Styela clava: one gene and its partners. The protein of the gene in region 4 purifies or fractionates together with the protein of the main gene of each other region. This does not show direct contact. Links are inferred from orthologs where the notes say so. Each region holds a gene or a part of one and is shown on either strand. Other genes may lie near its edges. The genes, in order: E3 ubiquitin-protein ligase RBX1, transcriptional coactivator YAP1-A-like, dolichol-phosphate mannosyltransferase subunit 1-like and F-box/WD repeat-containing protein 7-like.

What was found.
Region 1: the proteins of F-box/WD repeat-containing protein 7-like (region 4) and E3 ubiquitin-protein ligase RBX1 purify together in Homo sapiens (affinity purification with western blotting; 8 studies listed by BioGRID and IntAct, with this or other methods). This does not show direct contact. The link is inferred for Styela clava from reciprocal best matches to the Homo sapiens genes FBXW7 and RBX1.
Region 2: the proteins of F-box/WD repeat-containing protein 7-like (region 4) and transcriptional coactivator YAP1-A-like purify together in Homo sapiens (affinity purification with western blotting; 4 studies listed by BioGRID). This does not show direct contact. The link is inferred for Styela clava from reciprocal best matches to the Homo sapiens genes FBXW7 and YAP1.
Region 3: the proteins of F-box/WD repeat-containing protein 7-like (region 4) and dolichol-phosphate mannosyltransferase subunit 1-like purify together in Homo sapiens (affinity purification with mass spectrometry, with the first as the bait; 3 studies listed by BioGRID). This does not show direct contact. The link is inferred for Styela clava from reciprocal best matches to the Homo sapiens genes FBXW7 and DPM1.

What each region holds. Positions count from the first base shown.
Region 1 is NC_135252.1:17,433,917-17,442,228, forward strand, and holds E3 ubiquitin-protein ligase RBX1, read right to left. Parts: upstream 3,235-8,312; 5' UTR 3,162-3,234; coding exon 3,045-3,161; intron 2,772-3,044; coding exon 2,731-2,771; intron 2,155-2,730; coding exon 2,094-2,154; intron 1,822-2,093; coding exon 1,615-1,821; intron 973-1,614; coding exon 922-972; 3' UTR 578-921; downstream 1-577. Other genes in the region: uncharacterized protein LOC120342750, read right to left, coding at 8,081-8,225. UniProt on the Homo sapiens protein: E3 ubiquitin ligase component of multiple cullin-RING-based E3 ubiquitin-protein ligase (CRLs) complexes which mediate the ubiquitination and subsequent proteasomal degradation of target proteins, including proteins involved in cell cycle progression, signal transduction, transcription and transcription-coupled nucleotide excision repair.
Region 2 is NC_135257.1:9,974,793-9,982,718, forward strand, and holds the start of transcriptional coactivator YAP1-A-like, read left to right. Parts: upstream 1-4,484; 5' UTR 4,485-4,683; coding exon 4,684-5,339; intron 5,340-5,729; coding exon 5,730-5,871; intron 5,872-6,624; coding exon 6,625-6,745; intron 6,746-6,846; coding exon 6,847-6,905; intron 6,906-7,926. UniProt on the Homo sapiens protein: Transcriptional regulator with dual roles as a coactivator and corepressor. Critical downstream regulatory target in the Hippo signaling pathway, crucial for organ size control and tumor suppression by restricting proliferation and promoting apoptosis.
Region 3 is NC_135263.1:8,595,619-8,603,711, forward strand, and holds dolichol-phosphate mannosyltransferase subunit 1-like, read right to left. Parts: upstream 3,304-8,093; 5' UTR 3,264-3,303; coding exon 3,163-3,263; intron 2,965-3,162; coding exon 2,865-2,964; intron 2,483-2,864; coding exon 2,372-2,482; intron 1,953-2,371; coding exon 1,927-1,952; intron 1,710-1,926; coding exon 1,614-1,709; intron 1,317-1,613; coding exon 1,133-1,316; intron 663-1,132; coding exon 558-662; 3' UTR 468-557; downstream 1-467. Other genes in the region: PSME3-interacting protein-like, read right to left, coding at 3,948-4,694. UniProt on the Homo sapiens protein: Transfers mannose from GDP-mannose to dolichol monophosphate to form dolichol phosphate mannose (Dol-P-Man) which is the mannosyl donor in pathways leading to N-glycosylation, glycosyl phosphatidylinositol membrane anchoring, and O-mannosylation of proteins; catalytic subunit of the dolichol-phosphate mannose (DPM) synthase complex.
Region 4 is NC_135263.1:11,561,433-11,569,807, forward strand, and holds the start of F-box/WD repeat-containing protein 7-like, read right to left. Parts: upstream 3,094-8,375; 5' UTR 2,902-3,093; coding exon 2,788-2,901; intron 2,108-2,787; coding exon 1,915-2,107; intron 1-1,914. Other genes in the region: uncharacterized protein LOC120340979, read right to left, coding at 4,943-4,959, 5,272-5,338, 5,746-7,241. UniProt on the Homo sapiens protein: Substrate recognition component of a SCF (SKP1-CUL1-F-box protein) E3 ubiquitin-protein ligase complex which mediates the ubiquitination and subsequent proteasomal degradation of target proteins.

The DNA of each region.
Region 1 (8,312 bases), on a different chromosome or scaffold from region 4:
GTCCCGTTTCTTATATTTGCTGCTTAATTTCAGCTACAAGGTGTCGCTGACTAGATGACTCTATGAGTCTTTTCGCGACTCCGCGTCAACTGCAACAAGCCGATATCCATTTGACATTTTGTTACATTATATTATTTATTCATTTTTCATATCGCGCATTGTTTTTTTGCATGACGAAAATAAATATCTGAATCTGAATTCTCAGAAACTTTGAAATCATCATTGGACATGCCATTTTTTATTATTTATATCCGCTTTACTATCATAAGATCACTGTGGCTTAATTCCTATGTGGTTGTTATTCGAGAAACAGAATAAAATTTGGGGGTTGTCAAATTTTGGAATGCAGTCTGAATTCCAGATTAAGAAATATTTTTGCATTTGGTATTGTTTGTATTTAGAATAGTCCCGTATTCGTTTATGGCCGACACTGTATGTCGGCTGATTTAGCTAGTCGCCTCATTTTTCATTCTATGAAATTAGACCACATAGGCAAATATCTCAATTCTTGGTGGTTTACAACCACTGCACTAATCTATTTTACTAAGTAATGCCTAAAAATTTTAAGGAATATACATAACGGACAAATTTTTTTTATTCTACACAGAGTGGTAAAAATAGAGCATAGCTTCACTGCTAATAACCATTAAATGCCGGATCCCATATTGCCCACACACCAAAAAGAATTGAGTACAGGAAAACGACATTAACACAGAGATCACAAGTTATAATATTTTGAGTTTTATAAAATGTGTACAATGGAGAGTTCTGTAATGTTTCAAAAACCCTCTTTCTTTGAAGTTTAGTGGAATAATAATATTGTACATGGAATGACATCCATAACAATATAGCAATAAAAAGGCATGTAACGCTCACTGAACAAAGGTATGAATAGGAAGGAACAGCAAATATCAAATCAGTTTATCTCCCATACTTCTGAAATTCCCATTCCCGATTATCAAGCGGACAAACCTGAAAATAAAATGGGAGTGGTTAATTGTCAAAAATCTAAGAAATAACAAATTTTAGAAATATTTCAAAAAAATTAATATTAATTCTTCACATAATATTCCAAAGGACATCGTGATTTTGCAGTAACTGGATTGTATTGTTAATAATAATACAATTTTTACACCCAGGGATTGCAAAGTCAAATTGATTTAAATTATATAGATGGCAGACAATGTGATGAGTAGGCCATTTTTAGCGGATGATACCATAAAGAGGTTTCAGTCATGTGTCATCTTCCCACTAATTTATTGGCCATTCAACACAATCTCCCTAAATACTCTTTTGAAAAAAGCATTATAATAAATTTAATGAACAATCTGCAGATAAAGACAATAACTCGAAATTTGCGCTAAAGACATTGTTGAATGACATATTTTGAAGTAGCATTAAAACAATCCCTATGGCAATATTGTGTGAAAAATTTTTTAGGAAAAAAAAAAATAACATGGTGAATGAAAATCCAAATATCCCGGTATTTGTTTTTCCAACCTGCAATGAAAAATATATAAAAGCCATAAAAAAATTTGACATCACATTTGAAAATTACAACAATCTAAAATATTCATCATTATATGAATACAGAGAAAAAGTATCATTTCACACCTGTCTAGTTTTCAGCCAACGAGAAATACAATGGAAATGAAAAGCATGATTGCAGACACCCCAGGCAACTGTACACTCATCCGAAGTCGCTGATGTCTGGTTAGCTTGACATTCAATACATAAATCCATAATATGATTCCTACAGATAGCACAGTTGTCGACCACAATATCCCAAGCCCAAAGGGCAACGGCATTCCATTTTTTCACCTTAATAAAGTAAACCGTTAATAATGACACACTTATTGTTGAGTACAGAGTGACCCAGAAAACAAGATCACTGGTTATTTGAAAAATATACTAGTCAGAACATCATTTTTGTACTGAGCTACGGAAACATACCCCGATAGAAGTTACAAGTCTTGGAATATTTTTTTGTAGAGTAATTAAAATTTTATGGTAACTTCCGTTTTTTTGGGTCAATCCCGCAATAATAATAAAATTAGTGAAGATTGAATGGTAGGTTATATATTTATAATTACCTCAAAACGTTTCTTGGCAGGAATGGAACTACTAGATGATGGCTGATCAACTTCCATTTTTCTGTGTGATATTGAATACTAATCAAGATTTAACTAACTAATAGCAACAAAAAATAAATGTAATCGTTATCAAAAAATATTATAGTACATCATCAATACAATTCTATTATGTTGAGATGACCAAACTTATCATATTTTCTGAATATGTGATCACCAGTTTGACTGTTTGCTTCAAAGCATAGGTTACTCCTTATAGCCTAAGAGAGAGAGAGATTTATTTCTACAAACAGCATCAACACTGAACATGAATAAAAAAATTGATATAATAAAATAAAACCCCTCACAAGCTGTTCATTTGCCTAGTGTAAATTATCATGAAAAATAAATTATGAGAGATTTACAGTAAAGAGTCGGAATAGAGTCACAACGATTGCTCTGAAATTGAGCATATGGACGACGACGAACTAAGACGTATAAAAAAGAAATGGCAAAATGGGTGAAACACAATTAAGTCATAGATTTTATGGTCATAAAAATACACATTTTCGAATAAATTTTACATCAAATGCACATGTTTAAATTCTAGAATAGTGTCTGTTGTTTGTGCTAGAACATTCAAGTTTGCCTCCACCCTCACCGATTGAAATGTTGGTGTCGTGATCCGCAATGTCTGTAAATCTTGTGAGAGAAAGAGATTTTATTTTTCGTCAAAAATAAAAAGTACCATAATAATAAATTAGTAATAATATAATACCATATGTACCATAATAAATTAGTTTAGTACCGTACTGTATCAGAGTACGGTATACTAGTATAGACAGGAGGAAGTGATACGACCATACTGTAATTAAAGTTAACTCCCCCATTTCCCTTTTTTTGTATATTGCGTATTTTTTTCAAACAGCTCCAAAAATACCTGTATACAGGGATAAGTCAAACCGTCAGTCTTACGTCGACTCGTTGTCCGAAAACTCCGTAGATGAAACTTCTGCAAATCGTTTTGATGTTGCACGGTACCAGTACCCTATGGCAGAAAAAGACTGCCACAAACCGAGTACAGGGTATCATTGAAGTACTAGCCACCCCACCCGGCACTTAGGTCAGTAGGTTGACTTTGATCAGGTGTATATGGGCTTTGATTTTGATAACTTCCTTTGTAAATCGCTAGTGCTGCATGGAGTCAAAGTTTACGACTAGTAAACTTATATCTGTATATTCATCTGTACGACGAGGAAACGGTCGTCAACGCACCACAACCAGTTCAGATTTGCACGGATGGAAGTTACTCCATGCATAGACATTCTTGTTTATATCCGTAGATAGATCCGCCCTCTCAGATATTGCGTAATTGTACTTTGCTGCTCCACATATCACTTTGCTGCTCTACATATCGTATTGTACTCTGTATTTTACTAGAGTTTTATTTGTATAGTCAGTTTCATGTATGTTGCCCTAGTATAACGCAGCAGTCCTAAACTCTGAAATTGCTGTTATCATTGTTAGGGGTACATGTCGCACATCTGTGTCTTAGACCAGTAAGGTCTTGAACATGTATCCCGTCTCTGTTTTACTGTTTAATTATTATGCAGATACTGTTACATTTTTGAGGCAAATAAACATACATACATACATACATACAACCAAAATTTCATTTTATATTGCATTTATGATACTTCATCCAGAGCCGTTATATAATGGCTCTGCTTCATCTGCTACCCAATATTTATTTGCACATAGGCTCTCTATTTTTTTTTATATTTGGTTATTATTACTATTATTGTATGGTTTTTTCATTACCTTAGTTGATTTTTCAATTCATTTCCCATGAGTTTATATTGACTCTTTTATAAGACATTTATACGAAGACTACAATTTACTGCAATATTTGCACGAATGGCCTTGTACCAGAAAAATGTATTGTGTAAACCAAACTCTGATTTATGATCCAACTCGGGCTTCTGATTATAATTTATATGCATAATTTTTTTTTTGTTTGACCGTAAATAAATATTAATAGGGTTCAACAAAATGAAATAAACTCTCTCTCTCTTTAAACCCCCTCTCCAGTCGGACAGATTGCTTGTTGTTTGTTATATATTTACGGTTTTGTATATTGATCAAAAAACTCAATGGACGCTCTTCCTGAGATTTAAGTTTTATTTAGTTTCCGCGTAAACGCAGAAATATCGTAAAAGTTCTTTCCCGTAAATATTTTCTTTTAGACATCCAACATAAAGTGATTCGCGCAAAATGCAACATGTCGCGCAAAGCGTTTTTGCAAAAGTCATAAGCTTTTTCTGATTTGTCACATGACGCTTCCGCTTCGGATCGATGTTTTCGTTTGCGATCGTTATTGCATTTGTTGAATGTCGTCGCTTTTCATGTTTGTACATATTCAAACTGGGTAGGGTGGCATATTTCGCGCTGTCGTATTGATGTACAAGTACGGTAGCTGATAAAAGTGTAAACTTGTATCTGTGAATGCTCGAAATACTGGAATATTGGTGGCGAATTTATAATGCGGTTTTCAGGTTTTAGGTTCTCATCTGTTTAATTGTCTAGGTTCAGAGGTTGCTACCTTTCCAGGTTTCGGTATCTGCGTATCTATGTGGCACAGAATTTATAAGTTATACCGGTAGCACAAAAATTCTAGTGTGATAAGTGTAGATTAGCGAATCAAATAACAATTTCTTTATTGACTTGAAGTTTTGCAAATAAGAAGTTAAATGCCTATTGCTTTAGGGAGCGTAGACAGTTCTAATTTTTCGAGTCTGCTGTAACGATTCTGTCTGTTGTAGCAAGTCTATGCATGCCACTTTCTCACATACATAGTTCATTTTCTTGTGATTTATGTTTGTTATGTACCGGTACCGTAATAAAATTTCACTGAACAATCCATTTTTACTGTATTCACCACATACTGACATAAGAACCGCAGCCACAATTTTTTTTCTCTTCTGAATTCTAGTTTGTATGAAGTACCGCATTGCCATGATCTTCTCTTGATCATTGTCTCACATTTTAAAATTGATTTTAAAGGCATTGCCCGATTTCACATTGTGTCATCGTTACATTTTATTGTGTTCTTTTAACTGTTTTTGGTGGACAGGCAAGTTCGGTACTTATACGTTTTTTAATATTTTATTAAATTATGCCCGTCCTCCAGGTCCTCTGAATTTTGTTTATCCATTTGTTGTTTTGTTTCTTTTAGAGTGATTACATTTCAACATTCAAAAAAATATTGAGTTATATTTGGAATCGTGTGCTCACTGACAGGCTGAATTGTGCATTTTGGATTATTGCTAAAAGATTTTGAATAGGAATAATGCCTTGCAAGATTCTTGGACCAAAATGTTCGGTATGCTGCAACTTAATAAGTATATGGGCCGTCATCATGCTCGGCTTAATGGGTGTATTTTTCCAAATCAAAAGTCCTGCGCTCTATCCAGATATTGCTATGAATTCTACACAGATTAATAATCAAACATTTGTATACGCTGCGTATGAAGATGCAGCCAAGAACTGTTATATCGCTGCTGGTATTTACGTGGGCGTCTTCTTCTTCAGCTTGTGGCAATGGCGAGTCAATAGATCTCTTCAAACATACACCGTTCGATGATATGCTATATGTATTTTGGACTGCTTCAATGTATTTATGAGAAACAAATATAATGTGCTATATTTTAGTACTTTGTGTGTGTAAGATATTAGAATTGCATAGCTCCAAAAGTAAAAAACAATTGATGACCTCTTACGAACTGATGATTATAATTATCATGAAAGATTATTAAGTTTTTCAGCGCATTTGTTGCTTTGCTGGATAATTTATATCCATCAATTTTTAACTCATCCTGATTTCCAGCCAGATAATTGTGATGCCTATTATTAAGGATATGCTTTTTATAAAGTTGTCTAAACTCCATTAATGCTTTGGATTATTTTCCCTGTACTTCTCCAATTGCGGTATTATTTGTAAACTCGACATGTTTACTATACTGATGAAGACTGTTAATGTTAATGTGGTCTTTCAGTGATGGCTTTCATGTACTTATTATATGATTGTGCTACTTACTAACCGTTTGAGTGGTATTTTTAGTTATTTGAAGAAGGGCATTATGTAACATACGATTCCTTTGGTGTACATGATAAAATAGGAGTCTTGTCCTTCTGTGTTTACTTATTTTTGATGCTGTGCTGAGAAGGTCACAGCACGCTATAGGTATTTTGTTGTCGTTTTTGGTTCAATTGGGAATATTATCAGCTAAATTGTGAAAAACATATTATATATATATATATTGTAGTTGTGCAATAGTGTTGTTTGACTGATCCTCTACATGAAATACAATATATTTCATCGTAAGTCTTCACCGTTATACTAAATGAAATCATAATGGGATATTGATTTTTGAAAAAATAAATCTGTGACTCCACAGTTTCAGTTAGTTAGAATTACTCAGTTTTAAATTTAAAAAGTGCTTTTTTGGTTCAAACAATTACTCAAGTCACCACAGGTATAGATTGCCAGGCACTCCAGAAGTTTGTGCACCAATATGGAGGTAACTAATTTTGTTCGCCTATTTTACATCAAGTTGTGTAAAGGGACTGTGGGCAGGGAAGGGGGTAGGTACTGTCCCCGAACTCATAATAAGGAAAATTGAAATAATATGCCCTAACCTGTTACCCATACTACGGGAGTACCGTTTGTCAGATTAGGTAAGTCCATATTGACCACATCCGCACCAACAAATCACACAATTATTGCCGCACTTCCTACCCCCACTAATCAAATTCCTCATAATCGAATATCAGTGATTTACGAATACCCTGTTTGCTGCTAGAATCTCAAAACAATGAAACTGCTGGTACTAGGATTTTCTGATGTTAAAAGAGCATTACAGGAAAGTATGGCTTACTTGTTTTTATTCTTGCAAGAAACGACAAGAATAGACGTAGTCATCACTGGTCTGAATATAGGAGGGATATTGCATAATAAAAAGAACAAGCTAGAAATATAACACAAAACTAATCGTGCAAAAAGAAAATGGAGAATTTCTGGTTTAAGTGTTGTAAACAAGAGTTTGATGCATAGCAATAAAAACAGTTGATATCATTCTACAAAATGAGTAATCTCTTCTGGCATAATGCAATAAAAGAATTTACAATGTGATAAATGGCAAAAACATAGGCTGAGCAGCTTTTTAAACAACATGTATACCTCCAATAAGAGGCACTGTAATCTCACATGACATATATAAGGCATATGATTGCATACAAATAAAATAAATAGGTGTGTAAAGCTATGGAACTCCATTCTATATAATCAATAATACTGTGTATGTCCGTATTTGAATAGTTTTCAGTGTTGAATTAATTACATAAAAGGTTCTTGCCTAGGTATATAAATTTTATTTTAATGTGTTAAAATAGATTTTTTTTAAACAAAATCATGATCTCAGTTATCGCCAAATTTTATTAAATTCGAATACATCTCTGCATCATATTAAAATTTTGTTTGTCTCTTACAATACTAAATGCACAATAATTACCTATATAAAATAAATTGAAAATAACAGAAAAATGCATAAATTTCTGAAGAAAACCGCTATTCAATTTATTGTCACACCGACTTTAAACGAATTCAGTGAGAAACAGGATTTTGACAGCGACACTCTGGTGCTGGTATTGGCTTTTTTACAAGATTAACTAAACTAAAAACGAGCAGATTATTCAAAATTGGCGCGTCCCGCCCAATATTTCCTTGCGGGCCGAATTTGGCCCACGAGCAACAGTTTGCGCACCCCTGGTCTAGAACATAAAAATACGACAACGGGTTATTCTAAATCCAATCACTTGTTAAACATAACTTTAGCGTAGTTTTTGAGCAAGTTTCTCCAGTCACAATAAGGTTACCTATGACCTTGTTTAAGCATATTTTCAGACGGCAAAATTCACAATTTGAAATCCTGACATGGATTTTTTCTAGGCGTCTACAACAACTGTTGTTTCTCATTTTCGTATGCTCTTCGGTGATATTCTGACCTTCGAGATATAAGCTTCGAGAAGCGATTTTCCAGCACCTCATTCGTTAGCGGCGAATTCTGTTCATCGTCATGCATTCCTGACTGAAGTTGTCTGAAATTATGGATGGAAACAATACTCCTCTAACTAACTTTAGATATAGTTGAAAGAGCTGTTGAGGTGACTTGAAACCACAATGGC
Region 2 (7,926 bases), on a different chromosome or scaffold from region 4:
TCAGAAACTTCCTGAGCTTTTTACACAATAATCATCATGAACTTTATTACATCGCAATCAGTAATTGGAGTAGTATGGTAACATACATATGAAGATACATTAGTTTATGTCCACCGATAGGTGATGTATTGTGCAACATTCTGGAAAGATTGCAATTTTACCAATTCCACTTTGTTTATATAGTACTGTTCGGTAATTAGTCACACTGAAACTACGGGAAATTTCTGTTTTGGGATAAATTATCGTTTCTATTAAAATACTGGAACAATCCTTTTCAACCTGTCAGCAGTTAAGAAATTGGAATCTTGAAAATGATATTAAGTTTAAAATTTTTCACGTTTTTTCTTTTTATATATATAGATTTCATAATTTTACTATTAAACTTTGACACCATTTAGATTTTCTCTCATCAATTTCAGAAAACGAGTATTCAACGATCGTTATTAGAAATGGATGTATATAAAATGTATATAGTAAACCAAAGTAATTTTTTCTGATAGGGAATTTAAAAACTTTCATTTGTAATAAGTGTGCCGCGAATTTTTTATTTCGTTGTTAGTATGACGCAAGCTGAATTGGGAACGCCTGCGTAATCTAATTAGTACGGTAGTTTACCTGTAGTGGAAGACCAAATCATAATATCATGAACTCCATCAAATCTGGAGTCGACCAACACATTGCCTCCCAAAACATTTCTGAAGAATTATGATAAAGCTGTGGGCCACCAGGTCTATTAAAACTAAAAAAAAAATGTGGATAGTAATTTGTGAAATCATTGTAAAATGATCGAAGAAATTTGTAATACGTAAGAGGTAATTTGTAATTACGTTTGAACCTAATGCGTTACATTTGTACTGATCATTGCCTTCAATTATAAATCAATTTATATTCAACAACAACATATGATGATGAATTAACAAAACATCTCTGAGGTTTTCTAAAACTGTTTAATTAGTTTTGAATGTTTTTCAAGACTGTTTAATATCTATCACAGGGTAAATATTTATTCTGATATATTTCAACATATTTGATATTGTGAACATCATACTTTTTAATTTTTTATCTTTGTAAATTGGAATTGTGGCCTAGAAAAAAAATTCCATAATCATTCAGGCTTGTCTGACATTAACATTCACTTGACTTCGACGCAGGCTGTGCAAAACTTTTTTGCTGCCCGTGGCAAGTTTCTGATAAAGATACCCCTATTCCCATAATTCTGGGACCGAACAAATTATAGTAATTGTTATGCATGAGACTAAATAAATTAAAGGTCAACTAAGATAGAAACGTTTGTTTTTATTAAATTAATCATCAAACTAAGCAACAAACATTTCCATTTCGGAAAAGCGACGTAACAGTAGACGTTTTAGTAGCCACATACACAGATTTTCTGGCATGGTTGTTAACCATACCTCGTTTTTGCATGCTATTCGTTTTTCGTTATGTTTCGCAAATTTCAGTACAAACTCAATGATTATTGCGACTTATTATAGTTTAATTGCTGCTAATCAAAAATTAGTCTAAAACTAGTCTTGACAGACTAGGCTCAACTTTTCTACCGGTATTTTTAAATAACAGGGTTGCATATTTTGAATTAAAATGTTTGTTTGAAACATGTAAACCAGTTTAAGGCGAAACCATCATTAAAAGCACCAAAAATGTTGCAACTGTAGAATATATGAGTGATTTTTCTGGGGTCAGTGGTCGGGAAAACATCTATTGTTGACTCACCATCACCACAGTCAGTCACTCACATATTGTCAGCTTTTAATTCAATAAAAACACATCGAGAAAAACATGTGTAATAACGCAAACTCTACCGCTCGGTTCTGCTGTCCTCTAGAACAGGGGTGTCAAACTCATGGGTATTCGAGGGCAGCATTGCATTTTGGGAATTGTGCAAAGGGCCGCAAACACACTTTGATATATTTTGATAATGTATACTTAAAGCATATTTTAGATAGGTGTAGTTTGTGACATATATATATATATATGTGAAGTAATTAAACAACCGAATGAAGTTTTTTTATTTTCCTAAATTTCAAATGCCATTTGCATATTATTTTCATGCATTTCACTATTATTGCAATTTACTGTATTTATTACAAAAAATCATAAACTTTACTTTCACAGATTGTTTTGAAGCAGGTTTTTTGCTGATTTAGCTGTACTTGCTGTAACTGCAACAGTTTCATGGTTCGAAGTTGATCTTTAAATTTAGTCATATTGAATGCTGTTCTTATTCTGATTATGTCTACTTCTATTGTATTTTTTCATTATACTGATGGAAAAGTGACGAATTGGACAATGATTTCAAAATTTTGAGAAATAACAATTATTGTTAAGCGTTCAAGAGCCGCATTGAAATTTCTATGGGGCCACATGCGGCCCGCGGGCCGCAAGTTTGACCCACCTGGTCTAGAACGTGCTACCTGGGACGACTGCCCCTTTCGCCCCCTCTAGGCACGCAACTGCCCCGATGTCATCAACTTGATCAGTTTCTGAAGTATTGTAGACTTACTTTTTTCTTTATACTTGAATTGATTCAAGTTTTTATCGTTTTTTCATTACTTTGCTGAAAACAGCGGGACATGATGGGCAATATTATTCGACGGGTAGAGCTTTCATATTGATTTATATTTACTTGTTTGTGGTAATGTTGTTATGTGAAATAAAATTTCAAGGTAAGATGATTTTGCATTTCCATTTCTTTCTTTTTATATATGACTTGCCTTATCTTTTCATCGTTTCTTCACTTTACCGTTACTATAAATATGAATGCTTGAAAAAAGTTATGCGCAGCGCATCACAATCCACGATGAATTTCATCGGGTTTGCCAACTGACACCAGCTAAAAGATATTATTCGAACTCTAGAACTTTAATATTCATTATGGTGTTGGTGTAAATGTTGTTTTGTGAAAAAAATCTCTTTTTAAATTATATGGTGTGGAATTATACCCGCCAACGCTAGTGGCGCAGGACATTGGGGGAGGCGACATTTACATTTGACGATTGGCTTATACTGTTATAGATGTCTTGTTTGTGACGGAAAAGTGTTGCCGATTTCGATGTCTTTTCGTAAACATGTTTAGTTGCTGGCTACCTATTCACTGACTCTTCTTACAGTCTGATTTCGTTTAAGGTGTTGTGTTGTAGTGACATAATTTAGCCAGGTGAGGGTTAGAAATGACATAGGCTATGCGAAAATCTGAAAATGGTTACGCCATGCCAAATACCTGACTGCTGACTACCGTACCACCGTACGGTACGGTACTGAACTAGAAGTACCGGTACTTGACGTCGTTTAGTGAACTAGCCCTTGATTTTCACTCACATTGGGATTAGTTTAAATATAATAACATACGGTACCGTAACATTAGGAATAGCTAAATAATGCTGTAATGTCTGAATGTTATATTTAGTTATCTGTTTATAAATTCTGTCAAAAACACTTGTCAATCCTTATGCAGAACCACCATAAGATGACGTGTGATAAAAATTTTTTAGAATATCAATCAGGTTCCTGCTGTAAATAAAAAAAATCTCCACTGTGATAAGCTCTGTGGTTCAGTGGTTGGTGCACATGCACCATGCCAAGCGTTAGGACTACATTGATAGGCTCTAATCCCATGGCAGCATGGCCGATAATTCAGTAATTACTGGATTATGGTATGTGCAAGACAAATAGAACGAAGAAATGGGGAGAATATTGAGCCAATATACCCTATTTTAGTTATATCTAGTTTATTATTGAAAGTGCAAAGTTTATTTTCTTTCAATTCTGAACCTATAATGCTAGTTTATATGAAAATAGTAGCATTCAGAGAATAATTTCAACATTAATATCCAAATGTGATGGTTTCCTGACATATATGCCTGTGAGCATGATTTACCAATGCTAATGGTCACTGCTATTATTGTTAAACAAAAGCAAATTTTCTCATGCAAATTAAATACAAATGGCTTACCTTTGGTTAATAACCTGGTTTAGAGACAATTGTCAGTACTTAAAGTTACTACTTACCGTACTATCAGTTTTTTTGTTCGAATCGAATTTGAGGTCTTTTTATGTGACATGAAGGAGTTAAATTTATTATCATTAGAATTATTGCTGTGATATCTTGCAATGGGCAATACATGTGTAAGCAATATTAAGCAGTGAATAGAGCAATAATCAACCTAAAACATGTATAGGCCTATCCAACATACATAACCGAGGTGCAGTATATACTATCAGCTTTTTGTAGTGGCACATATAAGAAATTTTATGTTTATTTTGATGTTTAATTTTAATTTATAGTAAAAACTTATTGCTTTTTCCAAGGTATTTTATGATATATAGCAATAATAGTCTGTTTAGATGAGATTTTTCTAATGTGCAAAATATACCTTTAGCATTGGACCATTCTCCTATTTTTATTCATATATTGGTTCTGGAACACATTCCAAAACTCATGTAATAAAATCCCTATGTTGTTTTCAGCTACAATAGTTCAGAATACAAATACTGAAATAGATGAAACCAAGTTTATCGTTTCACATATCACTACTTCCCTGGTGAATTCTGAGGCTAAAACAATTTTTTTTTTATCAACATTGAACTCAAGTTCAGTCCAAAGTTGAGAGAATTTTATTCTTCCTAGCTTTTAATAATCCTAGTTTAAAACAGTTGACTTTTGATATGTCTATGTCTAATATGGAGGAAGAGGAAAATGACCCTGAAATACAAACTACTATTACACAAGGTCATTCCGGCCATAGTCAGATCCTTCATGTCCGTCAGGATTCTGCAAATGAGTTGGATCAATTATTCAATGTTGCTTTGGATCCTAATAAAAAGACAAAATCCCTTCCCATGAAGTATAGGAAACTTCCCAAGTCATTTTTTCAGCAACCGGATAGACCACGTCATGTGCCGATGCATGCACACTCTCGTTCAATGGGTGGGCTAGTTTCAACACCAGTCAATCACTCACGGAGCTCCAGTACAGATTCAAGTGCATCTCATCAATCCGGTTTAAATTTATCTTCGAATAATCTTCCACAGCAGTCTCAAACACACATGAATAATAATATTGGACCCCGATCTGGAAACTTTACCCCAGGTCCAATGCAACACTCACCCTTCCAAAATTCGCCAAGTCACCTTGCCTTGCAACAACCACAAATCGCGCACTCCCGATCCAAGTCATCACCTGCAAGTTTGCAAATAGCCAACGCAAATATGCAGATGAAAATTCAGCAACCTAGTAATCATATTGAAATACCACCTGATATGCCATTACCACAGGGATGGGAATTCGCGAGAACTCAGGACGGTCAAACTTATTTCATGAAGTATGTAAATAAGTTAATTTTTACTTTTTTTTACAAGAAATACCCTTTTTCATTTTTATGAAGTAATTTTCAAATTTCTAGGTGCTTTTAAGATACTTATAATAGTCCAATATAATAGTCCAATTGAGGAAACAATGCACTTCTAACACATCCTGCTGTCACTTGTTAATTAAACGAACAAGTCTGAAGAACTGCACTTCATGAATCTAACATGGTTTTGGAACATAATATAGTCTGTTTCTAATTTTAGTTGTTGGTGTGATAAGTATAAATCTTATAATACGGTTCTTGCAAGTTATTATAGTACCAGTACTGAGTGCTTCGTGTGATATAAATTTATAAGTCTTCAACTCTGCCAGTACATTGATTTGTTTTATAATCACTTTTCAGTCACACAAACAGAACTACTACCTGGGTTGACCCACGAATTGACGTAATAAAAGAGCAACAAGAAAGAGTTAATGCCAATAACATGCAAGCAGTCAACCATCAACAGTCTCAGATGCATATTAATAGTGTACAACAGCCTGAGGTATCACATTTTTTTACATCATTTATTCTTTGCTGTGCAGACATAAATCGTATATCGAGTTGGAGATTATGGCTGTTTTAATTACATCTTTGCTCCATGCGTTTTACAGCATCAGCTTGTATTTTGCTTGCATGATTTGGTAAGATCTGACAATATATCGGTGTAAGTGATTGCATATTGCATCATTGCTATAAAAACTTAAGCCTCGGAAGTTGGAACGTTCTTCTCTAGTTGTTAACAATAATATAATGTAATATCATTTACTAATAAATTGAATTGAATGATTGAATCAATGTATTTTTTGGTGTTATTTTATCAACAATATTATCGTGCAACAATAATCATATCTAGAATAGCATAACCGAGTCATAATTTGAAATTTAGTGTGGCCTTCGCATTACCAGAAATTTGTGTATTTGACCCAGTATTACCGCTGCTCTAAAATACATGATAGTAGCTTAATTAGTTCAATCAATCAAATCGTTTTTTATTAGCAATGCCGGTAAAGCATAACAAAATGGAAACAAGAAAGATCACAAAATATTTAAACCAAATGGTAGGATAACCGTGAAATGACTATTCGGTCTACTTGTCAGCGGCAACCTTAAAATAGCTTAAATAAAAGTTATGGCTACAAAATTTGCACAGCGCTAAACGTTTTTATGCGAGAACAGCATCGCCCCAAGATGACGCTGAAAGGCAGTAATACACCTTGTTATTTATAAAACTAATCAATGGCTATAAACATTTCAGCAATTAGTTGTGCAGCAACCTCTTCCGAGTGGTTGGGAACAAGCAACTACACCACAGGGTGAAATATACTTCATAAATCATGAAACACGGACCACTAGCTGGTTAGACCCAAGACTTCAAGGTTCCTTTTTTTTAATATTTCCATGCAAATTATCATTTGCTTTTTATACAATATCAAATTTTTATCCTTTTTTCCTATTATTCTATTTGCATCAATTGTAGGCATGAATCTAGGTGGTCAGTCACAGATGAATGCACAGATACAACAGCAGCTTCATAAGGTAACAATTGAACTGTAATAATTTTTTTGTGAATACCCCTCGTTCAACTGTGATCTAAATGTATTGCTGTTTCCAGTCCCACAGTAAAAAGTCCTAGTTTGTTATATGACTTTTTGTTAATGAGATGTTGGGTAGTGTTGCTTAACACTGTATTAACAATATCTATTTCCCAATTTTTCCTTTTTCAATGTGACTAAAATATATCATGACAAGAGGAGGACAATTGTTAGACTATAGAATATCCATTATTAAGCAGTTATTCCAATGTCTGTAGTCTGTCGTACGAAATGTTTTGTGCAGAATTTTTTTGTAAATAAAGAAGTATTGTTCTAATTACGGCATTGTTTTAATAGTACCGAACAACAGTATTGGGCTCTAACAAGTGGTTTTCCCCAAATAATGATGATTGAACACTTCATATAATGTTTGCTTTACTCATCTCAGAAGAAATTTTTATAATCGGCAATGAAGTAAATCAAATTGTTTTGAGCTTAAATATTCTTTTATTTGAAATTTGCATCCTCAGTTTTTTTTGTCTTTTGTCATGACTTTCAAAACAATGCGTTTTCATTGGTTTGTTTCATAGTTATTTTAATTATATAAAAATTTAGACATGAACTTCTGGAATTTTTTGAGTTTGATATGCTCGAATGTGGTCACCAAATTCAGCTGAACAATTCTGTAGGGTTCAATGGAGGCTGAAAAAGTCGTGCTGGACCTCAACCATCAATATACTGATTATATGTAAAGCTATCGAATTATTTTGGTTCTAAAGTTTGATCAAACATGACCAGAATAATATTAAAAAATGATTGTGAATATCATGCTCGATGAATTTGTAGTTATATCAATTATTTTGGTTACTTCCTAAATAAGACTGTCATCATGGTGGTAAATTGATTAACCCTGATCTTACCTCCTATGAGTTTCTCCAATTTAGCTCTGTGCGGTAATTTGAGTAAGTAATTAGTAATTACCGGTAAGTAATTAGTATTATTTGTAATGTTAAAAATACATTTAG
Region 3 (8,093 bases), about 3.0 Mb from region 4:
AGGTGTATTCAAAATTGGGTCGAATTGAAAACAAAAAAAACCTCAATTTTCCAAAACTACTTTCAGTAAATTGTCAATTTCCGTGTAAATAATCAATTTCACTTTGGAAAATTTTAAAAAATGTATTACATTTAGATAAAAAATTTCAAAATATTACGATTTTTGGTAAGCATTCGATGGCTGCATTGGAAGTTGGAGTTTGACGCCCTTTGATCGTATTAATTGCTCAAAATCATTTAAAGATGTTAAAATAAACCATTGACATAAAACGACTTCGCTAATTATGACTAATTTGATTTATGATATAAATTGGTATTAAAGAAAGCTCCATACTCCATAGAATATAAAGAGTGAAAACTTCTGAACCTGCATAATGTTCAATCAGCTCTACCGCTTCTACCTAATGGCATATCTCGGCCAAGATAATAACACTACAAACTGAAAATCATGATCAAATACAGAAAATATCGGAGGAATGACACAAGCTTATTGCAATGAAAAATTTGAAAAAAGCAGCTAGAAGGTTATTGTATATATACATAAAAAGATTTATAATGTTACGTTGTTGCAAACAAGTACAACAGACCCTTTGCAAATTGGATTATCTCAGTTCCTCCAAGCTTTGATTCACCATAGAATCTATCAACAAATGTGATTGGAACCTGGAAGTGAAATATGATATTTTTGATAAATTCCCAACAATACTGGCCAATGGCCATATCCTTATATCACCCATGAATTGAAACACCCACCAATAAATTAATATTTCTATCATCAATCATGACTTTTACAAATGTATCAAAAGACTGACACACAAAAACTGTTACAAGTTTCGAACATTAAAATCCAATATGATAAATTTCTAGTTTCAACCTACTGTACATATATTTATGAAGAGAATTTTTTGATCGTTGTTACACAACCAGTTGTTACTTGTACAGTCTTGATTTCATTGAGACTTGTCTATGGTCCAGACAAGCATTAAATATAACGCAAGTGCATGGTTGAAGCGCAAGTGACTGCCATGCCAATGCAAGAGTGTGGATGCTTGCTGCAACCCCTAATATCTTACTTTCGGTCCCTGTTGTCAGTTACCTATTGATGATATGACAAGCAACAATTAAGACTTTACCTCTCCAATCTTCAGGTCAAACTGTCTTGCCCGAATTATCATTTCCATTTGAAAAACATATCCTTTAGAAATACAAGACGAGATCAGCTTTTCCAAGACATCTTTTTTATACAGTCTGAAACTTCCAGTCAGATCAGATACTCCAGGACGTAGCAAGACTTGAGTGATATAGTTGGCAGTCCGACTGAAAAATTTAAAGCTATACAGAAATCTCCAATTTTTTAAATCACATAAAAAATAACCACGTTCAAGCAGTATTAGCCATGTAACAATCTTGCAAAGAATTATGTTGCAACTTGCATTGATTGCTATAAACAAAACATCGTTAGAATGTTATGTATTGTTGTTCATGTACTACTTGTTCAAAATATTTGACACAGTCATACATCATCTAGCATTCTAGGGCAATCATGTTATATTCATCTTTTCACATAAAATTTAGGGTGTAATAAAAAAAAATATTAATCCATAATTAAATTACCTAACTAGCTTTCTCTTCCAGTCCCATCCGTAAACACCGCCTTCTCCAATATATCGAGTACCTGATACAACATCACAGTCCCCATCTTCTTGTTTTCTGGCAAACAAAGTAAATGTGTTGAACCAAAAAAATATGTTCATATTTAAACCATACAACTTAGATGTGTCAACATGTGAGTACGCACAAATGTGAAAATAGGTCATATTCCTTGTATTGTAATCACAAAAGAGTTCATAATCTTACAAATGGTTGATACTGATGAGCTTATTAAACTATTGTAGGATAGAAACACATATATGATACTAATACTCACTTAATGTATTCTGGAATAAACTTTGGCTAAACAAAGAAGACATATGCTAGTAATGAAGCAGTATCATAATAGTTTAGATACATAAACGGGTGTAAGACAACAATTAGTAATACTTTTACATGGCTAATCAAATAACAAATAAACTGCAAAGGAATTGCAACAGTGATTGCTGAAATGAGCTAACAAGCATATAAAGATTACAGAAACATGCCTCACGATTAAGAAATGACTGTTGACCTCATTAACAAAAAATATTTATTCATTGCTTTGTGTATTTCTGATCGGATAAATATTTAATACTTCTAAAATCTGAACATTAAATTATAGAAACAACCACCAAAAGTGGATGATAGCCGATCGACCAGTACAAATCAAATGTGAATAGTACATTTGAGAAACCTGCTGCACAACTATACAATGGCAACTAAAACCATACTCTACTCACGTGATGTGAAAGGTCTGCATCCATTATGAAAATAAAATTGCCTGTTGCATGCTTAATTCCATGAATGTATGCTGTTCCAAGACCCAGTTTCTTTGCTCTTGGGCGCAAAACCTGAATGAATTTATTAGGGCTTTTTATTCAATTTATTAGGGCTTGAACGATTAGAACTTCCAGCCACTGGCTTCTAGATCGCCTGCTCTTGAATGTATGTATGTATCATTTTCACAGTAATCATATAAAATCAAGATGTAAAACTTAAACTTAGCATAATATTTTGCCCAACTTGAAATGCTCAAGAAGTTTCCTTCAAAATTAGAATAAAATGATATTAAATTCGCTTTGTGATCTTTATAGCATGCTTTCAAAACGTAAATATAGAAGTATAAATTTGAATATTGACAAAAATTACAGTATTTTAAATGAAATAATTTGCATGAAATCAGAACATACGATATCAATTTTTATTTATTGAGGTTTTTATAAAATAACATACGATTTTATCTTCTCCGTATATATCCTGCAACTGTTTGGCGACATCTAATGTACCATCTGGACTCCCATCATCAATGATGATAATTTCATGATCACAACCTCTGAAATATTTAACAATCTTTAACTTCGAAATCAATGTGAAAAAAAATGGCTCAGATAACTGGGAGGAAATATTACAGAATCCATATTTTAGATAACCATCTATCAATAGTTTAAAATTCTACTGTTTATTTGCTCATACTTTATATTGGAATAATTGAATATGATAAGATACATATATATTAAAATCGAAAACTCACATTTCTTTGAAATATTTCATCAATAGCCAGATAATTAATGGCAAATTTTCCCTTTCATTATAAGTTGGTAACAAAACTGAATATTTATTTTTTGACCCCATAATTCTTAAATATACCTATTAAGAAAAAACAAAAAGTGCAGATTTATTCATAGAACACAAACACCACAGATTAAACAAGCGTTAGCCTAAAATGCAACATGCCAATAAATGATAATTGTCATCAGGTACAATAATTTTAAAAACTGAGATTTTGTATTCAGGTGACCTCAAATACCTTCATAATTTAATAACATTCATTAAAAAAAGGAAAATATCAGACATGCCAGAGGAAGCGTTTTTTTATAATAATACGGGCATTTCACACAGTCAGTCACACACAGGGAACTATTTTTCAAAGAACCCAGTTTGGTATTGCCTACCCAATTTATTACAATATTTATTCAACCAGATATGCTAGTTAGGTATAACATTCTTGGCCATCTCAGCCAAACATTAAATAAATCGAAGAGAAAATTAAATGTTCATAACTATGGGGTTGTACAGAAATTTGTAAACAACGAAATAGACATGATTGAAATTTTGAACAATGAATTGCAACAAAAGAAGGTGGAGACCCTAACCCTGTGAGTATGTGGGCTAGCGGCATTAACAGAAAATTTCCAAAGTCGTTGACACAACACAGCTGGAAAAATTTTCATTAACTTAGGTACAAGTTAAGAGTTGACATGAAGTAACTAGTACAACTCTATGTGCGAATTTGAAAAAAAAGAGCAAAAAATGAAGTCATCGAGACTTATGAACAATAGAAGATAATAAATTATTTGATACAGAACCAGAATCATCAGAAGAGCTATCACTTTCCGATTCTTCTTCACTTTTATCATCACTATATGCTGCTAAACCAGGTAATACACCAACAAGCTTAGTTGCTGATGGATAAACTATTGTTTGTGTAAGGTTCTTATCAGCATTGTTTGATTCAGTTTCGGATTTTTGAATTTTCTCTGGTGGACATGGGTTTGTCTGCTCTTTATTAGAAGTTTGAGAACTTGGTACTTTTCGTTTTACAGCATTTTTCAATATGCTTTGTTGTGGATTTTTTCTGACAACCTGTGATTTTTTTGGCAACTCTTTTTTGTCCTCCGCTCTTGTTGAAGAATCTATTGGCACATTTGGAAGTTCTCTTGACTGAGCTACGGCAGTTCGAAAGTCTTCAAGTTCTCTTTTTTCTTCATCCCGTTTCTGTTTGTCAAGTTCAAAGTTTCTCTTTGAGACATCAGAAAGAAAATTAGATTCATCTTGATCTATCCCTCGGAATTGATTTTTAAACTTTAATTGTTCTTCAAACTCATCTTGTTTTTTGTCTTTTTGCTCTTGCAATCGTTCAAACAATGATCTGCTGTCATGAACTTCTTCTGGTGCCTCAACAGGGTCTTCAGGTTTTCTTAATTTTTCCCATTCTTCCTGTCGAACTTTCCTCTTTTCTTCCAACTGTTTTTCAGATACAAAGCTTTTAATACCAGAACTCATTGTGAGTCAGCAGATGAAACAGATTAGTGGATTAAATGAATATTGAAATATTTTATCCGGCTAAAAACGTATCATTAACGTTAGTTGATGCGCTCAATTACAGAATGTATCTAAAACCATACGGTAAAATGTTTGCACATAGACCAATAAACATCGGTATTCATTAAACAAATTGAATGAAAAATATGCATTCGTAAGCAGCAATTGCAATAACTGGAAAACAATAGCCTAAATGCAATAGGTCGCACACGGGTCTCGTGTAGTTTCGTACCTAACGTACTTCTAGTAGGCGTAGCATAACAATTTTTTGACATGCCAATCCTAACCCTCGCCTGACTACGCCATCCAAAAATTACGTCACTACGACGTCACAATCACGTCATAGAGCTTGCCAAATACTCGTACGATCGCCCGAAATAGCATCGGCGCCGACGATAAAGAACTGACTGACGTCAGCGACCTCTCTCCTATCGGGATCGTTGCGACGAGAAAACGAGAGAAATGGCTGTTCGATTTGGGATTCTCGTCTTCGCGTCTTGGATGACAGTTCGCATAGTTTGAAGGGCTCTATTACGTCACTGTGACGTCGTAGTGACGTAATTTTTGGATGGCGTAGTCAGGTGAGGGTTAGGATTGGCATGTCAAAAAATTGTTACGCTACGCCTACTAGAAGTACGTTAGGTACGAAACTACACGAGACCCGTGATGAGTGAAGTGAAGAGGATGATATATTATCCTACACTGCTAGAGGCGGTGAGGATGAGATGTTATCGAAAAACATTTTTATCCTACAAACTTTACATATTGCAGCTGGATGATACCATGGTTAACTGAATATTCAGTTAACCATGATGATACGGTACGATCGGTGCCGGTACGATAGTCAATCAGACTGACACTAGTACAGTACAGTAGTATGGTATAGTTCAGGGTGGTCAAAACCCAAGCCCGCGGGCCACATGTGGCCCGCGTCGCATTTGCGAGAGGGTAAACAAAAAGTCGCATTTGGTGTTGTTTCATGATAAAAAAGAACCAGAAAAATCTTTTGACACGTTACATCACTAATTCCACTGAACAATGACATTAAACAACATGATAGGCAACTCTGACGTCACTCCATAAGACTACATGCGAAAGATTGTATTTCATGATACGCTCCAATGCACATATTTCTCGTCGCCTTTCGCGGCCGTTTTCCGCTCGCTTCTGCTACTCGGCGTCTTCTTTACGTGTAGTACCAGCCTTTTTGCGCCTGTAACAAAAGAAAATAATCTCTATATCTAAGAAGTTTTGCTCATTTGGAAAGCTGGAATGGCAGACAAGCTGTAAAGAGTAATTCTGGACATCATAGACGTTTTTTTTTATCATAGAAGATTACAAACGCGATAGCGTGAAGATTTGTGTGGGACATTTTGCAGATAATGACAAAGTTCAAAGTTAGTAATTTTAATGTTTGCGTTTAAACATTGAAATTTCATTTAAAGAGGGTGTCATACAAAACAGTAAAACTGTTTATACTTCTCTTAACGGCGATACAATTCCATAACACAAAGTTTGCACCTATCGAACTTGCTTTAGTTGGTGAATTTATGAGACATATTACATATTTAGTTAATCATAGGTAACATTGCTGGTACATAATGCCTCGTAGATAGGTATGTGTCTAAACTTAGGAATTTCGCTCATAGCCCACTATTTAATATTATCTTCTATGCAGAAGGTTGCAGGGCTGATTTAACTTGCAGCCTTACCGATCACCTGACGATGCTCATTTATTTTGGTTCGAACAAGTCATCTTGAAAGACTTGTGTGAATGGAAACTAACTATATGTTTTGCCTTCCTCCGATTTTAGAAGACAAATTTATTCTGAGGGGTTTCGCATATAATTCTCATTGAACGTTGGCTGTTTACAATTCCTATTAATTGTGAGTACTGATTATAACAGAGAGTTAAAAAAAAATTTACGTAATTTACTGGCACCCTTTTCTTGTCAATACTCCAAGCTGAGGTAATAAACAAGGCAATACATTTATGTCATCTGGAAGCAAAATATGCACACTTATTAAAAGTTTGACACATTGAGATAATACACCATGACAGAAAATACAAGTTAAAGATATGTATGACCATCACATGATAATTAAAATTAAAAAAAAATTAATAGGGGCTGTGGAGTATGAAAAGTTCAAGACAAAGAAAAGAACAAAAGTTCATAGAATTTTGCCTCCATTGCTTTGTGAAGGCCAATATATTCCGAGTTGCTGAATTGGTTTACCTTTATGATAGCAACGATTTTGTAATTAATATAGCGAGATTTTTTTTCAATTCAATTGAAGTGATATTATTTCCCAAAGCAATGCTTTAATCGTCTAGACTCTAGAATAGATGGGTGGTGTCAAACTCATGGGTTTTCGAGAGCCGCATTGCATGTTGGAAATTGTAAAAAGGGCCGCAAACAGTTTTTGATAATGTCTACTTAAAAGATATTTTCAAGATAGTTTTAGTTTGTGACATATATTGGGATGCAACTAAACAGTTGGATTAAGTTTTATTATTTTCTTTAATTTCAAACGCAATTACATATTAATATTTGCATTCCACTATTATTGCACTGTATTTATTACAAAAAATCATAAAATTATATGTACAGCCATCAAAATCATTTTTGAACAAGCTTTGGATAAGGAAAGAATAATACATACACTAAAAAAAATGACTTAATCTAAATATATGGACCTAAAATTAACAAAAATACTACAGTATAAACTCAATGTTTTTTTAATTACATTTGTCCTGACGTTTGGCATCTTTTTTGTGTCACCAGCATACTAAGGCCAGGCTGATATGATTTTGTATTACCAACTCTAACTAACGAGGTCACATGATCATGGGTTAATCTGGATCTTTGCGAATGTTTAATTAATTCCAGTAATGCAAAAAAGTTACTTTTATCATACCATGTATAGATCAGTAAAAAAAAACAAATGACAGATTTTTTCGACAAGACATTTCGTGCCACATTGCGTGGCATAGGATTGCTTGCATTATCATCGATATTGATTTTTAGTAACTAAGTCGTTGTATAATTATATTAATATAAAAACACATGGAAATTTTCTGTTCGGAGTTGGTCATCGAATTTGTCATATTGACTGCTGAGCTTATTGTGTTTTTTCATTGTATTGATGTAAATATGACAAATTAAACAGTGTGCTTCAGAATTTTGTGAAATGCAGAAATATTGCAATTCCCATTTTCTTTGAAAATGCTACCTTCTTCATGTACTTTGCGTTTAATTTAATCACTCAAGTGTTTTATTCAAGTATTCTTTTATTCTCAATTGGATCAAAATGTGAACAAAAAAAAATTAATTTTCCAAAACTACTTTCAGTAAATTG
Region 4 (8,375 bases):
AATATACAAAACATAACCGCTAAGCTAAGTATGAGAAACATGTTGTGTACTAGTATGTAATACAACCGTAACCTGTTTTGAATGATGAACATTCCCAATGGGATTATTTGTTAAAATTCAACGCCTTTTATGATGTTGCTGCAATGAACTGATCTTTAATTTGTTCAAACGAAAGGTTCAAGAATGCTATGTAACACAAGCTAAGTGGAACTATTGTATATCAATGACCATGTTTTTCGGTCAATTTGAACATTTATACATTAAAAGCAGAAATAGGGATTTTCAATTATTAACCACGTATATATGTGCAATATAAATCAAAATGGCCAAAAAAGTAATAGCTACCGGCCAATGATCAATCTTTACCCAACCATTTATCATTTTTAATATATTTATGGAAAAAAAACTTGAGACTTGGTAATTAAAGGAAACCTTATAAGCGATGCAAAAACGAATTTGCATATTGTTGTAATGCTGTTTACATAATTTTGATTTAAATTACATGAGTTGTATAATGAACAAAACCTGAATATTCATATTTGAATGGATAATAACAAAATTTATCATAATTTTCTCAAATTCACCAGATAGAATCAGACTTGGCCACGGCCAACCTCCCAAAATAATTCGAACAAAACCTAAATATTCATATTCATCAGATAGAATCGGACTTTGCCAAATTTCGAAATAGAACACATTCTTGTACAGTGATAATTCTGTAGTGGAACATAATTCGTTCAGGAGTGATGTTCGAATATCGATTTGTTCGAGTATCGAAAATTTTTTGCCATAAGAAACAATGGTAATTATTTTTAATCGTTCTTACGCATTCCGAAATACCAAAAATATTAACAAAACGAACGTAGAACAATATTTATTTAAATGTGTACAAAATAAGAATTAAACAAAAAATTTTGTATCAGTTAATATACTGGGGCTCTATAGGGTTCGTTTTTTGTATGCGATGACGTCATCAAAAATTGAGCGCACCTTGAGTAGGTTCCGCTTTCACGATAGTCGTGAAGATTGCCTTACCGGGTGTTTATCGTGACAGATACTGTACATACACATACTACTTCATTATGGCCTTAGTGCCCATATATTTGAGCATTGCTCTCTTGTTAAATGGTCAAGAGGCAGCTGAAATGCGTGTTCGGGTGACGTCATCTCACTCGGAGGTGCGATCGGTGTTCGGGCACTGAGTTTCCGTTTGATATCCAGGAATTTTTGACTAGATATTTTTGCTCGGCAACTGAATTATTCAAGTATCGACTCGTTCGATTCCAAGGTATGGATGTAATTCCAATATCAGAATGCATCCTAGGGCAGAGGGATGGACAAAGTTTTTGATGCAGAGGGCCGCATTGAGAAATGTACCATATATTTACCTTCAGTTAAAATTTAATACAGCTGCCATTGTTGAAACAGGAATAAACAAAAAAAATTAACATTTTTTTTAACTATTCATAGTTTGGATATTCCAAAAAAGCACATCTAAATTTTGTATATATTAGTGAAAAATTACTCCAAGAGCAAGCGCGCCGTACAAAATGCTTTGGCATGTCGAATGTGACCCACAGGCCGTTAACTGTCCATCCCTTCTCAGGATGTGGATGGAATTTCTAGGACTTGATGTTTGAGCACACAGAATGACAAATTGGGAAAATACCAAAAAAAAAATTTTTTGGGTTGATTTACAATGTAACTCATTTTTACATTTACATACTCATTTACCAACAACTCATTTTGTTCCTGAAATGTCCAATATCAATAGAAATAATGTAATAAAATTATGTCGAAGAGAAACAATTCGGAATTAATTTAGGATAATATTGAATGTTGTGAAATTCAGGTTTAAAGTCGAATAAAGTTTGAGATTGAAAGTTTTGAAAGACTTCAATAATCATACTGTACCTGCTAACATCAACTCCGATACGGATAAATCTCCTTCCTCAAGGGGTTCGTCATCACTTAGCTCGTGTAAAGCCTTGATTTCGCTCGCTCTACTTGATACACAGAGTAATACACCTTGATTTCTTTCTAGAATACATTGTGTGATTCCAGGAACATCAGTCAATTCACACAACTTCTTGAACTTTCCAACAGTCTAATACAAAAATAAAAGATCATATTTCTGTCACAATGTTAAAAATTTACTATAGCGGTATAAGAATTGATCAATTTTTACAATCGAAACAAAAAAGGGACAAAGGCTATCGAAGTGATTTGATTTTTAATCGCTGAAAAATGAGTAGGAATGGAAATGGTTGGGTGAATTGTTTTGGCGCTTCATGTAGCCAAATCTTTCTTGCATTTGCTTGGTCACACAATTCTCAGAAAAAGACAATGACTTTGATGCAAGCTGGCTTGCAATCAAATCACATTTTAAAATTTGTCACTCGGTATGAGACATAATTTTTTAAATAAAATGGTTAGGCTAACCAATTTAACGCAGGCACACTTGCGTGGACTTGAAGCATGTTTGACTAATTCTAGATATAGCTGACACTGACAGTATACTCAGACTGAAGAAAACTTCGACATTTTATTTAGATTTAAAACATTCTAAATTCATACATACTATAGCAATTTTATAAAGGTTGAATTATCATAAAACCACAAAAGCTTCGAGGTTTATGGTTAAATCTGCAATATATAAAATATATTTTTCATATTACTATTGAAAATTTTTTGTACCATTAATAGTGTAATAATTTTGTTATTAATCAGCCATTCTTATTCCAGTATTCATGTGATTTATATTTTAATAAATACAGAAATACTCACTGTTCTGAATCGAACAATAGCTCGAGCTTTAGATCGTCCAACTCCCTTCAACCTAGTCACAAATTCATCGACTGACGCAGTATTAATATCGACAGCTTCCTCATCGAACTCCATTAAGTTGAGTTGTCAGAAAGTTGGTTCAGTGGTTAGAATCAAGGTCTAAACACAATTAGTTTCCAAAGTGGTACATTTCTTTTAGTTACAGACGTCAATAGCAGAGAACTGTTCAAATTACTGTATTTATGGAGAAGTTTTAGGATTGGCACTATCAGACTATACTGCAGTAATGGTCTGAAAATAGATGCAAACACTTTTGAGTTAAACTAGTCCAATTAAAATTAATACATTTGTAAAGCCATGGAAGTTTTAATAAATGAAAACAATACCGGAATAATGCTGACATTCAGATTACCTATAACCCAGGTAACCTAAATTTTATCAGGCTGTTCTGCAAAAGACTGAAATCTTTTTAGGAGGTGATTTGGTAAAAACATTGTGCTGTTGTGAATTGGATTTATCTAGATGTTAATTGGAATAAAAACCGTAGACTAATCCCCTCCTACTGAACTAAATCGCGCCATCACACCAGTCAAAATTTCTAAATCTCTGATTCCAGACTGCTGATGTTGTCTAAGTTTTTATGTAAAGTCAAGTGTATTTTTTCCAACTGGTCAGTAAATAAATAACCTATAGGTAGTCTATATCCGTGAAAATGTGCCTATTCACAGATTTAACAGACGTGAAACTCTGTAACAGCACTCACCATACAGATGATAACATCACTACACCAAGCAATCACACAAATCAACAAGTGAATAAAATCAGACACCTATTTCAGGTCTCGGTGCAGTGGTGGCGAACTGCTTGACCAATGCTCATCCTTACTGCCATCTACAGGACACGCTACTATATTGCAGAAACGGTGGGATTACATACATTACGGATGTCTGTTGTAAAGGCTATTCATGTTCTATCAAAAATATCACCGATGCACATCTAAAACGGTCGACCAGAGATGAACTTTAGCTGGGATATATATGCCTGAAATGTATTGTTTGGGACTCCCACCACCAGTGAGGACTTCGATGCTTCCACCGACCCGCGCTTCACATTTTGAATATAACCCCTACAGTAGAATGTTTATAATAGAAAATCCACAAGCCGTGGTATGCATGAAGTTAAGAGACATCTTTTCCTCGTGGTCAACACGAAAATCAGATCTTAAAATAGCAAACCTGTCTCAAATAGTCATATTTATTTTTATGCTATACATCAGCAGACACAAGCTGAACCAGTGTAAAGACGTTTTCACTTTACACCATTCCTTAACTAAATTATATAAACACATCAGAATAGACAATGTTTTATTGCAAAATAACTAGCAGCTTTAATCTGAAGATAACATTATTTCAAGACAGAAAAGTATTCCTTTCCAAACTTTCCTCAAGTCAAAAAGCTCAAAATTGAGTAGCACCAGTTTACGATTGAATATGATCACTTCACTTTCGGACAGAGCAGTGTACCAAGTAAATTTCTACACTTTGAATAGATAGAAATGACTAGAATGCATTATTGGATTATCAAATTGCCTTGTAAAGTTTAAATAATAGGCAAGAGATCAGCCAGCATCAATATTATCAAATTGCTATACCTAGACTGCTGAAAAAACTATACTTTTTATCTTTAATTGCAACATAGATGAAAGTATATTTTTATACTCAAGGAAGCAAAGACTTTTTCGACAAACTGCAAAATATTCATTTCATTTTGTGTGTAAACATTTGAGAGAGTGTTAACATTCAGAAAAAGATTGGAAAGCAGAACATATTCCTTTATTCATATTTATTAATGGAGAATGAATAATGACCTTGTAAAAAATATAAAATGACCAGACGATGATAACACACAATGTGAAAAGATACAAAATGAGTTGTTGATGTCAGTTTTAAACTGGTTAAAGCAGACTACTAGGTACGAGAACCCATAAAATTCCCTATAATTTCAAACTTCAGGTGAAATATCATGGTGTACATAAAAAAATTACACATGAAATGCTGAAAAACAGGTCAGAAACTGCAGATATGATTCTTTGAACTCTCCACACAACCAGATAGTTGATGTATAATGAATGACTATAAAAAACATGCCCACTCTCTCATCTGTTCTGGTTTGCTGAAACAAATGAAGCTCACTGTTAAGATTGAAATTGTTTACTCGGTTCGTGACACTTTGGATTATTTGATAGAGTAATGTGAAATACTAAACGCCTAATTACCAAGCTAGCCAACATTAATTTGATAGCTCAAGTCAGACACTCCAGATATTTCATTTAACGTAAATTATTGAAAATTGGTACGTAGTTGAACCCCAGAAATTAATTCAAAATAAAAGAATTTGTATTGCATGTTCCTTTACATCTTAGACTCGTACTCCTGTATGAGTACCATTTACCGTACCAAAACGATGGATTCCTAGAATACCTACCTTTAATATTCAGATTCAATGCTGCTTGCTTAACTGAATCGTTCCCCTGAATATCAACAAGGTTGACCTAAAATTGTAGTGGATAAGTTATATGTTAACACTTGAAGTTTATTTTAAAGTACAATTAAGAGGAATTAGATTGGGGGCTGGTAACTAGATTGAATATGAGCTTCAGAAGCAAAGATGCATTAATATATATTATTTTAAATCAAGTTTCAAATTCTTACCAGAGCATTATGCTGGTATAATCAATAGAAGTAGAACTCAAAATTTTACTACTGTTACCTTCGTTAGATCTATCAGGCGTGTGTCATTATGTCTAAATCAACACACTTATTCTATGAAACTTAACTTTGTAAAACATTGAAACTGGGATATCATAATTATTGAAATGTTTAGGTATTTTAAATTGATGGATATACAAATTAATACACACAGTATTCTTTAAACAGAAAATTAATTTAGAAAACTTACCAATGGAAATGATTTTGAAAACTGTGGGTCAGTCATTGAATAATTTTCTGGAAAATTTCGAGCAGAACTGACTGGCATTGTTTTGAGCTTCGATGCAGCAGAATTAGAAAGGTTTGACGAAGACGAGTAAGCAGTAGAAAACGAGTTTGTGTTTGGATTGAAAGAGCTAGCCATTGACGAAAGTAACATTGGATTGAACCCACCACGGATTGATTCCAATTTAATATTAGACGCACCAGATGGTGAATATTGAAGTTTGGGTATTGGAACAGAACAAGGAGTTGAGGAACTCCGTTTCGTATTTTGCGGAAAAGTAGGAGACATTGGTGGAACGTTATGTATGTTTGCTAAATTATCTATGGCTGATTGTGCAATTTTAAAATTTGGGGTATTGGGAGACACAGTGGATTTCTCAATAGAGTGGTGCTGGTTAGAACGCGATCGCTGGCCAGAAAAGTTTGAACTAGATATAGACGGCACAGCAAAGTTTGGTATCGGTCTCATTGTGAGATTTTTTATGGCATGCTTATCATCGAATGTCACAGAATACACAGGCGCTGTTGACGTTGGTGGACATACTTTCTGCTTTGCTATTGAGGGCACTTTGTCAGGTTTCGATATTTTAGGGGGTGTGGGATTTTGAGAAGACCAAGAAGGCCCAATTGCTGTAGCTACACGTTTAGTACCAACATCTAATTTTGGGAAGCCACCCTTTGAAGCACTGCTGGGCGTTACAGCAGCGGATGAAATCTTAAATTTGAGTTTTTCGTCTTGTTTGGAGTTCTTAACACCTTTAGGCAAAACGTCATTAGGACTGAGACCCAATATTTTTGAAATAGCATCATAGTTTGATAAACCAGGGGATCCGTGGTAAACTGGATTTGCATGTGCCAGTTGGTTTTGATCCATCATAAATTTGATTATATCAGATGCATAACTTTCCATAGCCTGTGAGCTCATCGCAAGTGGAACATCAACAGCAGAGCTAAATGAGGAATCAAACGAACGATTGAAAGTCTTATCAGAGTATAATTTTTTATCAACCTTCTTAGTTGAACCAGGATTTAACATTGTTGCTGGAGGCATTTTTGTCTTCACAATTGAGCTTGTATTAGAGGCTTTCCAGCTGCTAGTGGAGACTTTTTCATTTGAAGGGGGTGCCTTCTTTTGTGTAGAGAGTGGACTTGAGGTAGGAGAATTTTCACTTTCTATCGACGCTACTAATTCAAAACCACCTCCTGATGTCAAATTTCCAATTTTTATTTTATCATTTGTGCTATATGTTGTTGAGTTGCGGGAACTAACAGCATTAACCGATGGTTTATAATTTTTCGAGTCATTTGTTTCATAAATAAGCTGCTTCTTGAATGACTTAGCAGTTGTGTCACTCTGTCCAGCAGAGTTATTTAACGTTCCGACATATTTTTGTCCAGAAGCGATATCAGCAGCTTTATTTGAGTCTTTGGCAGAACCAAGTACCTTTTTATAACTTCCAGCTAGAATAGAGGATAAAAGTAGAGAGTAAAAATTACGTTAAAATGAACCAAATGACCAAAGTTCAGAACAAATCATTTTTAGTTTATTGTAGAAATTAGCATTGCTGAAAAATAACATAGCATTTATGAGCAAATTAGCTGTGAGGAAATTGAGGCCACAATTTGCTCAATTCATTATGTGATTCAAAGTGAATTAAATAAAAACCAATATGAAATCATCATATTATTTAAAAACTAAATGATTGCATGAATAATAAAATTGAACCGAAATTCTTCAACTCTAAAATTCATCAGACATAATATTACACATGTTGTGGTTCACATAAAGCCAGTGTGTGCATTTGCACCAAGAACTAATAAGTGCTAGAAATTTGAACTTAGGGACTATTATATATAATGGTGAGTCACCAGTAACACATAAGAGGGCTAATAAAACATTCAAATCTAATATGAAAAAGCAAACCCCCATGACATAGACTGATTTCGCATGTGAAATTAGATTGCTCTCAATTTTAGTAGTTTCGAGAAAACAAAATTTTTCTCCCTCAGGGCATTTGTCAATATAAAAAAATAGGCAATCTTTTAGACGAGGAGATACACAAATCAACTAATATCAATCACAGTAAACTGTCTTACTATCTAACACATGGATTGGTTTAGTCTGCAGTAAACTTGACTTCTTTTTTATTCGATCCTTTCGCTTCAAACGATCTTTACGATGCGACACAATCATTGGCGAAACTGCTCCCTCATTGCTACTATGAATTAAAGGCTGGGGTTTGGTTATGATGCTCCCTGCTGACTTTTGAGTACTCTTTGAACAGTAAAAATTCTTCCTAGATATTTCTGTTTTGTTTAGCGCCCTGGAATTACTCTGTGTGGAATGCTGAAAATCATTGGCTACCTTCTTAACTTTATCTTCCCTTGTGGATTTGCGAATTTTATTTACTTTTTTACAAGGAGATACATCTCTCATCTCCTTTAAGCTTTTGCTATCTTTTGATTTTAAATGTTCACTATAAGATTTTTCTACTACTTGAATACACTTTTCTTTTTCATGCTCTCTACGTTTCTTTTTGTGCTTTTTCCACTGGTGATTTGGAGTATGCCTTATTTTTAATTTCCCAGATGACA